2 linked regions of the Oreochromis niloticus genome follow. The protein of the gene in region 2 interacts with the protein of the main gene of each other region in a pairwise test. Links are inferred from orthologs where the notes say so. Each region holds a gene or a part of one and is shown on either strand. Other genes may lie near its edges.

Evidence for each region. The genes of interacting proteins can lie anywhere in the genome.
Region 1: the proteins of probable ATP-dependent RNA helicase DDX17 (region 2) and wbp11 interact in a two-hybrid assay, tested with the Homo sapiens proteins (3 studies listed by BioGRID and IntAct). The link is inferred for Oreochromis niloticus from reciprocal best matches to the Homo sapiens genes DDX17 and WBP11.

The regions. Positions count from the first base shown.
Region 1 is NC_031969.2:9,051,984-9,059,415, forward strand, and holds the start of wbp11 (WW domain-binding protein 11), read right to left. Parts: upstream 3,113-7,432; 5' UTR 2,924-3,112; intron 2,354-2,923; 5' UTR 2,331-2,353; coding exon 2,267-2,330; intron 2,149-2,266; coding exon 2,117-2,148; intron 2,017-2,116; coding exon 1,923-2,016; intron 1,663-1,922; coding exon 1,466-1,662; intron 1,159-1,465; coding exon 1,025-1,158; intron 917-1,024; coding exon 759-916; intron 664-758; coding exon 430-663; intron 299-429; coding exon 173-298; intron 70-172; coding exon 1-69. Other genes in the region: uncharacterized protein C22orf31, read right to left, coding at 4,436-4,622, 4,731-5,032, 5,189-5,308, 6,256-6,264. UniProt on the Homo sapiens protein: Activates pre-mRNA splicing. May inhibit PP1 phosphatase activity.
Region 2 is NC_031969.2:9,880,921-9,888,298, forward strand, and holds the start of probable ATP-dependent RNA helicase DDX17, read left to right. Parts: upstream 1-4,331; 5' UTR 4,332-4,657; coding exon 4,658-4,707; intron 4,708-4,830; coding exon 4,831-4,990; intron 4,991-5,086; coding exon 5,087-5,183; intron 5,184-5,286; coding exon 5,287-5,420; intron 5,421-5,513; coding exon 5,514-5,579; intron 5,580-5,722; coding exon 5,723-5,864; intron 5,865-5,998; coding exon 5,999-6,159; intron 6,160-6,298; coding exon 6,299-6,471; intron 6,472-6,600; coding exon 6,601-6,711; intron 6,712-7,068; coding exon 7,069-7,130; intron 7,131-7,296; coding exon 7,297-7,356; intron 7,357-7,378. Other genes in the region: transmembrane protein 184B, read left to right, coding at 363-557, 879-905, 1,436-1,665. UniProt on the Homo sapiens protein: As an RNA helicase, unwinds RNA and alters RNA structures through ATP binding and hydrolysis.

The DNA of each region.
Region 1 (7,432 bases), about 830 kb from region 2:
AGCTGTCTGATTCATCTGTGTATTCTTCCTCTACCTCTTCTTCTTCCTCTTCTTCAGGAACTGACTGACCTGAAGACAAAAAATAAATAAATAAAAATGCCATAGCATATCTCCATACAAAGAAAAGAAACAGAGGAGCACAAGCTTAGTAAGTGCTTAGCATTGACAGTACCTGCCATCCTTAACATCATGGCTTGCAGAGGTGTAATGGCCTTGGTCTTCTTCACAACCCTCTTCTTCTTCTTTTTTCCGTCACGGGGTGCCTCTGCAGGCATATCTGCGAAACGTACGCTACGACCTGCAGTAGTCAAACAATAACAAATTCAGAAATACAACAGAATACAAACAGTTGTAAGATCAAGAGATAAATAAAGGCAACAAAGACGTGAGCTGAGGCTTAAATGTGTTGAAGCAGTCAGAAACACTCACCACCATGTCTTTCACTTCTGTCTCTATCTTCTTCTCGTTCTCTCTCATCGTCCTGCCTGTCCAAGCGCATTCTCTGTTCGCCATCTCCCCCTTCATCTCTCTCTTCTTCACTGATGTCTTCAGAGTCGCTGTCGTCATCAATATCGTCCTGATCTCTGTCGCTCTCACTCCCGCTGTCCCGATCTCTCCCCAAATCCATTGCAGAGTCCTTTTCAAATCCAGGAATGGAAGGCTCTGTTCAAAGGAGAAATAGTGTAACAAGAAGAAATGTTAAATTATAGGTGAAAAAAAATCATTTGATTATCAGAGGGAAACTGGCTGTATCTCACCTGCATCTGTGCCGTAACCGCGTCGAGCAGGTCCATACAGTGCCAGGACCTGAGGAGGTGGGGGGCCAGGTGGAGGCCCAGGGGGCTTCTTCCCTGGAGGTAAGCGTGGGACACCTGGCACTGTTGCCAATGCTGGTCCGGAGGACGATGGTCCTTTACTAAGACATGCATAAAAACAGAATTAACTCAACTGCACATTAAAATTCTAAATGTCACATACGGAGTTTAACTGCTGAAACTTTTACTACTCATAGAATGAGTCTTACCCAAAAGTGGAGCTCTTCTTCAATATGGAGGGAGGCTGAGCCCCTGGTAATGGGATGTCCTGGATGTGGATACTGGATGGGGCATGAGGCATGTCTGGTAGAGGGATACTGTCAACCTCCACCAACTCTGCATTCTGAAAAAGAGGAAACGTCACACAACAGAGTAAACAGAGAGCACAACAAAGGATAAATAAGGTAATGGAGCACACATCTGAAGCACTCAAGCTCAAGACAAATAAAAGACGAGTAATGGGTTTTGGTGTCTCCCCAAAATTTTAATAATCCTGACTTTTAAGATTTTTTTCCAGGCCAACAAGGCGTACACAAGCCTGTAGGAAAATGTGCATACAATATACCTCTCATCCCTGCATCAATTCATGCAAGATTTATTATAAACTGAGGAACCCCGCCCCCCCAAACTGTCATGTAGATTCAACACACCTTGACTGAGTCAAAATAAAGAGACAGCTGCCCTCTTTTGGTCTCATAGTCCAGTTCAAGTTTGCGTAGCTCTTTGTAGGTTTCGGGATTCTCTCTTTCGTACAGACGAACAATGCGCTCAAATGTCTCACGCAACTTCTTCCTCTTGTCCCGCAACACCTTCTCATTCAGCAACGGCTGCTGAACTGGGTTGAACTCTGTTCAGAAACAAAGTAATTATTTTCATTAGAAAAGCAGCAAATGAATTGTAGAAATCAGATTTTGACTGTGATTTTCTGCTGTTACCTAAAGGCCTGAAATCCTTAAATACACACATGAATTATATATAGTATAACTCTACTGATACACGTGTTCCACAAGCTCAGGTCCTCTACTAGTGGCAAACATACAACTAAATAGCTACAACTAAATATATTTCTAACATGTAAACTCCATAAACTCAGCCCTGTCATCTCACCCATCTCATCCAGCTTCTCCATGTCTCTGATGATCTGTCTGGGATCCTTCATCTTCAGGACTGCTGCTCTCACCATCATCCTCTGCTTCTTGTTCTAATATTTCCAAAAGAAAATGATGTTACCATCATATTATCACAGTATTATTATCCTGCATATTTAGAATTATCTTCTTTTAAAAGTGAATGGTTCTAACCTTTTTTAACTCCCTTTTTCTGGCCTCCTTTCCTGTAGGAGTGGGGGTTGGGGGGAGAAAGAAATGACCATTTTTATATCTAATCAGCAACTGAGCATTCAGGAGATCAATTCATGATTGAATTAGCGCCAGTTTGTTATCAGCACTTACTGGCCTGGTCGGTGGGATTCATAAACTTCCCACTCTTGGTGGAGGAGGTTGAACGTCGCCCCATTGTGACGGTGGGTCTGCTTCACGCTGCCATGTAATACAGCAAAACAGAAGAGAAGATAAATGTAAAGGAAACCATACGTTGTTATTTTATGGTACGTTCAAAAACAAGTCGGAATTTGTCACAACGTAAAATAACACTTTTAGCTCATATTTATGAATCAATGACACTTAAAACAATGTTTGAATTCATTTTTGACAAACTGCAGTCTCCTTTTTGTTAATTCTAACTTCGATATCAAGGCAATTTAACCAAACTGTCTGCAATACACACCTTAAAGAACTTTACTGTTAGCTATTATTAGCAAAGAAGATAAGAAAGTTGACAATCAACGCACGACTCAATCTAAGCTCCCCCAACATCTATGTGTTACGCTTTTGCACAATTAAACTATTGAATGAGCTGAAAAACACCACAGAGCCAATCACACTTTTGTAACACAAACACACAGACATATATATATATATATATATATATGTTAAATCATGCCGGTCAAAAGCATTTGCTTGGCAGGTTAGCGGCTAACGTTAGCTTGCACTTATAGCTAGGCCCGCGTTAGCAACGAAAGCAGCACAGGAGGGAAAAATGCACTGTACCTTTTATTCAGTAAAAACTCACAGGGCACAACGCCCTACACACACGCACACCTCCGTGTGCCAAAAGCAATGCAACGCGTTTTGCGTACGCCCTTAAAGAGAAATCCAAACCCCCCAGAATTGAAAATCACACCGTGGCTTCGCTAACCGTCCGCCATGTTTACTGCCGCGAATGAAAGCGGAAAGGCGATTTTGACGTCATCAAAACAAGCGAGCAGTGAAAGAAAAATAAAACTAACTGGACAAACGGTATTATTTAAAACTTCACTTTATAGTATTTGTACATATACTAGGACTTTATTATTTTCATATTGTATGGCGCAATGTGGCTCTAACGATAACGAAGGGTGATTCTTGTTACAGGATCCAAGACTGCACTCTAGCGATACTGCCCCCCGATGGTTACAAGTAGCAATTACAACCTCACTGCACTGGTGTGCCAAAAAGTGGTCGTATGTGTTGGGTTGCGTATGCCAATCACTTTTTGCGTGGTTTTTTTTTATGTCTAGATATCTTTTTATGTTTGTTTTTTTGTCTAATATAGTTGCTTATATTGTTAAATAGGCTGCAGTAAACAGAGTTTAAAAAATGGGTTATATGTTAAATAAATCCAATTTGAAAGCAGCTCTATGAATCATTATATCCATCCATCCAGTCCTTTTCGGCCACTTGAAGAACATCACAGTTCTTTAAAGGACTGTGATTTTTTATAACTTCTGCAGCCCTCCAGGCCAGACCTCGTTTGAAAACGACATTTTTAATGTCAGTGACACCTTTTTACCTGAATAAATGAAGGCTGCATAAAAGTCACATCTGATGAAAAGAAGTTTCTTTTTGTATAAGACAGTCTGCAAACAGAATGACATAAATCTCTAGCATTCTGCACTTTATTCAAGGAAGTTAAGTAATGTGTTGTCTTTAAAAAGACAAACGTGCTAGTGAATTAAAGTTGGATGTTATGTTTTGTTCACAGTGCCTGAATATATATTATGGTCAACAAGGACTTCAAATTAGCCATTTTGATTCAGATAAATAATAATATAAATAGTGATTTTTCAAAATAAAAGTCCTATGGAGGTTTACAGTTTTCATCATGTGATCCAAAAATCTGTGGCTGTGTCCTGATTATGGTTGATGCGTTTTTAAAATCAGTCAGGCAGTCATGAAATAGTTTGAAGAGACAATTATTGAATGGAAATGCAGATGTCATCCAGCATCACATTTTTGTAGTACTGTGCAGTGCATGTTCTCAGAGAGTGACCTTAAACAGTTGTCCAAACACACAGTGGAATATAATATACAGACACACAAACTTGTGCAGAAATTACATTTTAATCATTAAAGTCACATCTGAACTATTTACAAAAACATTTGTCATATATTTACAGTAATTTTATCTACAGTTGATTTGTGTGTTTCACAGTTTTTGATTGTATGTCTTGTAGCAGTGCTCCTGCTGCTCTACATTCAGTTTTCCTTTCCTCTTTTGCTCGGTGGATGTTGAGGATGTGGCTAACTCGAAATGTCAAAATCATAGTTTGGGAGTTTGACTTTTTGCCCATACACCATGTCAATGTGTTCAAGTCCATCCTCGTTAGTTGATGTCTGCACCACAGGACGATTCAGTCTCTCCCACAGCTTTTTCTTAATGCGTCTCCCCAGCTCTAAACTGTAGGGACGAGGGCGGCCATTCTTGTACCTGCAAAAAGAAATTCAATCAAAATGATGCATGTGGTCAAAAACCTACTGTAACCATTTTAGAGCTGGCGATTTTAAAAAGTGACAGGAGATTTGGAGACAAACGTACGTCAGCATGCTATCTACCACCTCATGGTAGAGTCGCTGATAATCTTCCACTGAGAGATTGTGGATTTTTAAAGGGCTGTCACCGGAGCTGGTTGGCTGGTGGTCGGTACTGCATGGCTCGGGTCTGGGGGGCATTTTTTTTGCCACTGGCAGGTCGTCATGTGAGATAGCAGAGGGAGGCACCGAGTTCTTTCGAGGTTTAACCAAAGGTCGGGAAGAACTGGATGCTGGGCTTCGCTTCCTTTTCTGGGGCTGACTGGCTATTCTATCAGAGCGCCGGGGCCTCAGGGTTGAATTAATAACCTGGAGAAAGGTCAGAAGCACACAAGGGAATGTCAGTAGTTATTAATGACCTCATTTTTTTCAAACAAGACAAAAATTTAAATTTGATGAACGACATGGAAGTCCAAACTCCAAAATCCTTAAATGGTTCTGTTAATGAAATTTTACACATCCAACCTGGTCCTTGCTGCAGCATGGTTGTTTGCTGCAGGCTCTGGGTTTCTTTGCATCACGGGCCCGGCATGCAGTGTTTTTCATCCGATAATTATGGTCTTTGAGGTGAACGGGCACAGTAAGCTGCAGGTATACACAAAAATGACAGTAATGCAAACATCAGTTAGTAGTTCATGAAACATTTAAAAACAAACAAACCCTTTAATATGTCCAAAAACTACTTAAACCACTTGCATGGTTGAATAACTTGTCCACAGTGAGTGTAACGACAAAAAATATCCAACATGTTCACAGAAAATCATAAGAACTAAAACCAGGACAATGCATCAAGGTCAGTGTAATAAAAGACTGTCAACTTATGGGCTCATCATGTTAGAGCTTCACTGCTGCATACCCCCAAATGACATTTCAAATAATAATTTACATAAGTTAACAAACACCAAAGTCCATGTTGTATTAAACTCTAATTTCTGTTATAATCATTGCTGCTTATTGCCGTTTTTGAACAATGCAGATGCACAAAATACCTTTGTAACTGGCTAAGCTCGGTCATGTGTGGTTTAAATGATTTTGAGAATTCAGATGATGCTGAACATCATTGCTTGCTAATTTGTAAATAAACATTTTAGGGATTAGCTTTTCTACAGTGAATAAAGTCTCAGTGTTTACTTTTTTTATCCCCCCAAACAGCAACATGCACCCCCCCTGGTGATCATTATGCATTTCAGTTAATCACAGATGTAGGATACTCTACTTATTAGCAAAAACTGAACATTTTTTATCTCAGCTGCAAACTTTGGTGACATGTCTGCCACAAGATCATTTAATACACGCAAAAGAAAACATTATAGGTAACATGCAAGTTTAAATGATGCACAGTTTACCCTGTTTACAGCTAGAGTGCAACAGTCTAACATGCAAGCATAACTCCCACGTGTGTAGGCCTAAATTGGGAGTTTTTAATGCCTTTTATTCACATATATGTCTTCTATATTTTCACGTTGCCCTGTTGGCAAAGTGAACTCTTTCAAAACTTCCAAACTATATTGAAAACGGTCATAAAATCTCACCTTGTCCATGACGGATGATGGATGCTGGGTCGCTTTCCTTCGTGACGGTGGGAGTTGAACTCTTGTAAGGCTGCAAGAAGTCTTGAGCAGAAAGGTGTCTTACTTTTGCAGAAATTTGCAGAAATTTGCAGAAATCCCTTGTAGCTTTGCACAACACGTCGAGTGAAATGTGTCTGAACTATATCAAAAGATGCAATGCAAATAGAACCTGGGGACGCATAGCAACCACGCTCGCTTAAATCACGCTTTTTTGTACCTACTGTTAAAAATCCCTGTAATAATTATTTTTAGTGAGTTTTTCCCCCAGTTCAACTTTAGTTATGGCGGCTTTTTTTTTTTTAATATTTGGGCATCCACATAATTACTGCATCAAAGTGGTGCGTAATGATCATATGAAAATACGTCAGAACAGAGCAAAAGTGGTTTAGCTGCCACAGCATATCACATCAGCTCATTGTAATTAAAAATACTGGACTTCATAAGTTGTGCTTATTTTATAAATGGCCCGGAGAGTAGCAAATTCTCTCTTTCTACTCACTGTACTGAACCCGCTGCACTACCTACTTTGACCAATAGGTGTCAGCATTTTACCGTGGAAACAGCTATGCTTTGTACAGCTCCAAAGTCAATCTCTAGAGCGATGTGTTGCAGAAATAACTTCTTTCCAAAAGGTGTCTGTATAAAAATCTCTCTTATGCTCTGTCAGTTTGCAGTGCCTTAGTCTTTGGTGGTATTTCTGACCGCTCATGCTCATGAATCCACATGCAACGCACTGTCTGTCCCAGCCTCAGAAATGGATTTAAGACGATTTCTTTCGATATATCACCCTGTGGTCAGTTTTTGACATTCGTTTTGTTGCGGTCTTCAAAACAGAAAACAGTTACATCTGAGAGAAGATTTTAAATAAAACTAAAAGGGACAATTATATAATACATAAGAGACTTTATTGTCAGTGAGTCACTGTCACAGTATCACAACCAAATTAGGTGGTGCAAGAAAAAAACAAGAAAAAAACCCACAAAACAAAAGTTAAATAATACCAACACTAAATACTAAATTCTGAAATGCCTCTATGTTATAAATGTAAATGGTCTGGTTTTTATACAGCATTTTTCTGCTCCACTTGCACACTCAGAGCACTTTATACAACATGCCTCATTCACCCATTCACACACAC
Region 2 (7,378 bases):
TACGTTTATTTCGGTGCCAGTTTTGGGCATTTTAACATCAGTCTATGAGATTTGACTCACCTTTGGAGCCAGCCTCAAGGGAACTGCTGCTTGCTCGCCACTGGCCCATTGGGGCATTGATGTTGTTTCCAGTAATGTGGCTGAAATAGAGTCTTAGAATCAATATTTTCACATTTAAAATATCAAAACAGATGAAAAATGTAACTTTTTTTAGCCTTGCGCTTACATTTCCAACACTAAAGGTTGCTGCTTAGTCTCTTGTCATGATTTCCATGCACAGATTCAAATGTTGCTGAACTCTCATGGAGTAATACATCACTGTTTTGATTTATGTTTTCATATTTTATCTTTGTATATTTCAGGGATGTTGTTGGCCATCCTGGAGAAGTGTGGCGCTATCCCCCAGATCAACTCTGCTGATTTCTCTGTGGGGGAGGGAACAGTTGCTGCTGGCTACCAAAACTTCATCATCTGCATTGAGATGTTCTTTGCTGCTATTGCTTTGCGCCATGCTTTTACTTACAAGGTCTACATGGACAAAAGGCTGGATTCATATGGTAAGCGGCATGTTTATGTGTGTGCCTTGATGTCTGGTTGTAGTAGAGAGTGAAATGTTCAAAGAGCAACTAACAGAGTATTATAATATTGTAATTATGTGATTAACAGAGGGTTCTTGATGAAGTCTTTCAAAGCTAATCTGACCTCACTCTTTGTGTCCCTCCCTCTTTACTTTGATTCCTATCTTTAACAATCTGTTTATTTTGAGTTGTTCTCTTTTCATCTGCCCTCTTTTCTATTCTTTTATTTTCATCTTGACCTTCTTGTGTTTCTTATCTCTTTCTCTCCTTTTCCTCCTCCTTCACTCTGCGGCACTCAAGGCTCATTTCCTATCTATGGACAGTACGGTACGTCTGATGTTAGCTATGTTTTGTCTGTATGTGACTCAGTTGTTTATGTTAAAATGGAATTTGATGTCTTTTTTTTCTCTTTGATTGTGGTTTAAAAGGAAATTACATTTCCATCGCTTGTGTTATGTGTTTCAGTTCAGTGTTTCATTTGCAGCATTGTATAGAAAATGCAGATATTGATGTTTCCATTAGATTTTGAAATTATGGATATTTCGCTGTGTTGTTTTGTGTTCTTTCATTTATTTTGCTGTCAGTTAATTCCGCCCTTCGTCATTTTGCCTTCCCACTTTGTTCAGTCTGTGGTCCTACCCTTGTCGTAAACCCTTGCCTTGATAATAAATATGCCAGATGGAGTGATAATATTTATCTTAATATATTTTATATTCTTTGCAACATTGCTTAGGTTTATTTGGACAATCCAGCTGGCAGTTGGGATGGAAACATAGTTTCTTTCTTTTTTCGCTCATGTATCGCTTCCATTCAGTGTCTCGTTCTTAATATTTACCACCTTCCCATCACACCTCCAGGTCGCTGTGCCCCAATGAAGAGCATTTCCAGCAGCCTGAAGGAGACGATGAATCCAGGAGACATGGTCCAGGACGCCATCCATAACTTCTCCCCAGCTTATCAGCAGTACACCCAGCAGTCCACATTAGAGCGAAGTGGAGGGCCACCACTCTCCCGCAGCCACAGTAACATCAGCACCCGCGGGGACAACGAAAAGACTCTTTTACTCAGCTCTGATGATGAGTTCTGAGACTCAAACACACACTCGGAAGCTAACCCTTACTCCTGTAGCCCTTCTCAAGTTTTTAGCAGCCATGGAAGACGAATCTGATCTTTTTTTCCGACCTCAACGTGGAAGTTCAGGCTGTGGTTCTGGTTATTTCACATTTAGATAACAGTGAAAGATCAGATTTATGTCATGGTTGCCAGATTGCTGAAACCGAGACAGGGCAGAGTCCTTTTCTAAGGAAAAAGGAAATGATTGCTACAGCACGGAAATGAGGAGCGTGAAAAGAATGTAGATATTACAAATAAAGTGAGGGAGGAGTGAGGTTGATTCTTTAACTGGCCAAGCTGTTATTTGTGTTGTTTTAGTTGTGATTTTAGGCCATCGCTGAAAGAAATGCGATTTTTGTATTCACCCGTGGAAAATGGATTCGTACAGATAACTGTGCCTGCATTATACCATCTTAATCCTGCACTAATGACACTATGGCATTAAAAATGTTAGATATGAGCTGGAGAAAGTAAGTGCCATCTTCTTCTGAGACACATGGCCTCTTTATTCTTTACGCTTTACACTGATTCATAATCAATATTCCTCCTCACCTCTCTGCTAGTGCTCTCACTCTTTGTAACTATATATTGCCAAATAGCACCCTGTGCTCCAAATAACAAGACACTGTCTTAAAGTTTAGGATTGTTTTTTAATTTTTTTTCAAGTAGCCTTTGAATTGCAGGGGTTATTTTTAATATATGACTTCAATGACAAATAAATATTTTATCTAAATGTTGTTTGAGCTCGAAGGTTTATGTTATTGTTATCCTAGAAATTTTATGAGTTTACTGAGGATGTCATCATTATGTAATGTAATGGCATTCCAGCTGTTGGCCAGACTCTCTATTGTTTGGGGAGAAGCACAGTAACAGCTGTAGGAGAGATTTTTAGCGTAGGCAGGAGGACTGACGGAAGGACAGCGCCCACACAGATTACAGATTACTGATGGAGCAACACTTTCCTGCACAGTCGGCCCAGCTGTGATGCACCCTGGATTGTGATCTCATAATTAATGGCATTACATGCTGCACAGATTGGCGCTGCCTCTGCTGGTGTCATTTGTAATGGCATCACTACGACAGCAGCGGCAAATATGTCACGTTGTCAGTCGCTACAGATAGAGAATGCGAAGATATGTTGGTGAAAACAAGGCTTTAAATCAGATTGAAATCACATTTGTACTTGAATATATTGAGCATTTTAAACTTGGTGGTCAGTACAGGGACATGAAAAGTGACTAAACACCTTCAGGCTGGCCAGAAATCCTCTGGTTGGCATTATGTTTTCTTTTTCCAAAAGATGGCTGGAACTGTTTGAGTTATGCATTCATATTTTATCCAGTTATGTTTAATATGCGTTTACACAGTGGCTGGTATATAACTCGCATGTGGTTTGTGGTTCTAAATGTTTTAATGGCAGAGCACAGCTGTATAAAAGCTGAGATTCTGTTTATGTTGAGTGTATATCCATTTAACAGACTGGAGGTAGTGACTGCGGGTCGACACATAGTACATCACCGCCCAACCCTTTGCGAGAAAAGGAGTCAACCCAGCCAAAGTGATGTGTGTGTTTTCAGTTTATGTCCTAATGAGAAAATCATATTCGGTCAAGAGAAGGTGGGTGAAAGTGTTTGGATTCCATCTGTGACCCACATCCCATCCAGCCGCCACCCGCCTCCCACCCCAGTGACCGCATCACTTGTGTATCTTTCTACTAAACCTGCATTGCTTCAGTTAAAATCAAGGTCGAGTGTGTTTGTTCTGAGCGTTTCATACTTGAGCATTTTCTTCAAAACACTATCAGATCATAATTTTGCAAAGCTTATTGTATTTTAATCCAGAAAATACTATATCCAAATGGAAGGAACGCTGTAAATAAAGTCAAACTTAGTGCTGCAAAACCTTTATGACGACGACAATGGGACGCCATTGCTTGGTATAGTGCTCTGTTTGAATATATTTGTGTTTTGATGGTTTCATTTCATATATACTCCTGTTTTATTTTTAATTTTTTTGTTGTATGATATTTTTTTTGTTTGTATATTGGTAATATCACATGTTTTGATGCTATATTGATTTCTGTTGATGTTTCAAAAAGAAATAAAAGATGAATAGTAAAATAAAAAGACATTTCTGGCAGTTTTTGCAGGCTTGTAGACTCCATCATTCTCATTAGCAAAATATTAGAACCCCTGCAAACACCATTGACAGAGTCTATTGTTCAAGTAATGTTTTGGACAGTATATGCTTTTTACTCTACTTTTGTTATTTAGTAGTTATCCCCCCTCCCTCTCTTTCTCAGACCATTCTCTGTAAACCCTAGAGACGGTTATGTGGGAAAATCGTAATATTTCACTATTTTCTGATATACTCAGATTAGCCCGACTGGAACCAACAACCATGTCATCTTCAAAGCCACTTAAATCGCCTTAAATTCTAAAGCTCGGTTTGTAGTTCAGCGGGTCATCTTGATGGCCTGTTTGCTTTAAGGAGCAGCTGACCACGTGAACCGGATCAAATGGCCGGTGAGTGTATTGCATTAAGTTTCCAAAGCTGTTTAATAAATGGCCAAGTAAGTAAACAGACGTACGCGTGCCATGAGTATGTCACTCACAGTATAGGGGCGGGGCTTATCCAGCCGCCAGCCAGTCACAGCAGCTTCCGGTTCTGTGTTAAGCTAACAACAACACAGAACCATCTCCTGCGTCTTATTACTATTGCAACCCTAACGACGCTTGTCACAAAGGAAATATGGCGGGTTGTGCTACTTAACTTTTCAGCAGGCATTTACGAAGACGACATTTTAATTTATTTTTGATTTAGTCAGTTGTCCAAGCTAATTCACGGTCTCGCCGAGTGAAGCTTCTGGAGTTTTCAAGCAAGGCCAGAAAAAGTATCTGTAAGCAAAAGCCTTACAACCTGTAGAAGATAAGGTCCATTAGGAAAACTTACTAAGAGCCCTCAAAATGAGAGGTTCTTACGGAGACAGAGACCGAGACCGTGGTCGTGACAGAGGGTAAGAGGACTGCTAAGTTAGCTTGTCAGCTAATGCTAGTTAGTTATCATAAAACCCTATTATATGTTTTTATTGTGACTAGCAGCGGTTGCTTTGACCTTACAGTTCGTTGTCATATTCCAGCAATCCCCGATTCGGATCAAGCAGAGGCGGACCACCCCCGGGTAAGAAGTTTCGGAATCCCGGGGAACGCTTACGAAAGAAGAGATGGGACCTGAATGAGCTTCCCAAATTTGAGAAAAACTTCTATAATGAAAATTCCGAAGTGCAGCGAATGAGCCAGGTATTATGTCCGTCATGTCACAGTCTGACCTTCAGCTGCACCTGTTGTGTTGTTTAGTCTGTGTTCACTTGTTGCTTTTCTTCTCTTTGTTCTCAGTATGATGTTGAGGAGTATCGCAGAAAGAAAGAAATCACAGTCCGAGGCTCAGGCTGCCCAAAACCTGTCACCAGCTTCCATCATGCACAGTTTCCTCGTAAGCACATGCACTCATGGATACACCTGCAGCACTGTGGACAGTTTGCAGACATACATAACCAGAAACTTTGTCGTCCCTTATTTTTGCTTCTTCCAACTAGAATATGTAATGGATGTACTGGTGCAGCAAAACTTCAAGGAACCAACAGCCATTCAGGCTCAAGGTTTCCCTTTGGCACTCAGTGGGAGAGACATGGTGGGCATTGCTCAGACGGGCTCTGGAAAGACTTTATCGGTGAGATGTGTCTTCCTCTGCACCTGTACGCATCACACAGATGAATTTCACAGGTGAAAGATTAACCAGTCTTCCATATTTTTCTTCTTTCAGTATCTCCTGCCTGCAATTGTGCACATCAATCATCAGCCCTACTTGGAGCGTGGAGATGGACCCATTGTACGTGAAGAGAAAAGGAGAGCACTAATCACTGAGTAGTCTGCCTTGGAGTAACCTAATTGTATTAGAGACCTCAAAGCACAACATAAAACTAACAAACACTAAAGAGAGGATTGATGTGGCTTTATATATGTGCTGTGCAGTGCTTGGTGTTGGCCCCCACAAGAGAACTAGCTCAGCAGGTCCAGCAGGTGGCATATGACTATGGAAAGTCATCACGCATCAAAAGCACTTGTGTGTACGGCGGTGCTCCCAAGGGACCTCAAATACGAGACTTGGAGAGAGGTGAAGACTACTACAGCATGCAATCATACAGTTGTGTCCTTTTGGGAACCACTTTCGATTAGTCTGTAACTTATTTATTTTCAGTTTAACTGATTATATTACACACTGAAACATGCTAACTTTGTCTCGCTCAGGTGTTGAAATCTGCATCGCCACTCCGGGTCGTCTCATTGACTTCCTGGAAGCTGGAAAGACCAACCTGCGGCGCTGCACATACCTAGTTCTGGATGAGGCTGACCGCATGCTGGACATGGGTTTCGAACCACAGATACGCAAAATTGTGGATCAGATCAGGGTAAACGCTAATACTCAAAGGCTATATCTGTCTTTTTGTTTTTTTCTTAGGTTTTTTTGTTTTCTGCTGCTTACTCTTGTGTTTTAAGTCAAAGCTGTTTTAGTGTACAGTGTTTTACTTGGTGGGTTCTTTTGCCCAGCCGGACAGACAGACTCTGATGTGGAGCGCTACCTGGCCTAAAGAAGTTCGCCAACTGGCAGAGGACTTCCTGAAGGACTATGTCCAGATCAATGTTGGAGCTCTGGAGCTCAGCGCTAACCACAACATCCTTCAAATTGTTGATGTTTGCGTGGAGAGCGAAAAGGACCAAAAGTAAGAGTTTGGTGGTCTGGTCACATAGGAATTATTTTCTCACATTAAGAATAACAGCATCTGCTGTGTTTGGTGTGTGCGTTTACATCCCTTTAATTATAATGCATTTGCTTCTTTTGCTTTTCTCAGGCTTATCCAGCTGATGGAAGAGATTATGGCTGAGAAGGAAAACAAGACCATCATCTTCGTTGAGACCAAGAAACGGTGTGATGACCTGACACGTAGGATGAGACGTGACGGGTGAGTATACCAACTCATCCCAGCATCTGTTTTAACTGCAGACTGTAATAAAGAATGGACACCATGATGTCACCCAGTGGTATGGTCTATGCTGAAGTTGGGCAGTTTAACACTGGAGTGTGTATGGACTGGAGATATTGGAGCTTTTTAAGCTATTCCACAGCCTTAGCTAAGCACAGTCATTTAGGAGCAATAATTGAAGACTTGTCAAAATGGTCCACTGTAAATATTGAATTGTACTTTTGCTTGAATTGCCCATCACTGGTTTGTAGTACATCAGATGAATGGTTGTAGAGAAAATCAAAAGAGCAGACACACACAGGCACACGCTGTTAAAGTTGCTGATTTGTCTTCTAGGTGGCCAGCGATGTGTATTCATGGTGACAAGAGTCAGCCAGAGAGAGACTGGGTATTAGCAGGTACAATAAACACACTCACTGACATTTCATTGTATGGCAGGTCTTTGCACTGTTGTGTTGTGCTGCCCTGAACCATGTGTTGGCTCTGCTTGCATAATTACACAAACTGAACTGAATTAAATTGAATAACTGATCCTAATCACCTTTTATTCGTCTCATGTTGCAGAGTTTCGGAGTGGCAAAGCCCCCATCCTCATTGCTACTGACGTCGCCTCACGTGGGCTTGGTATGTCATGTGTGCTCAAGTA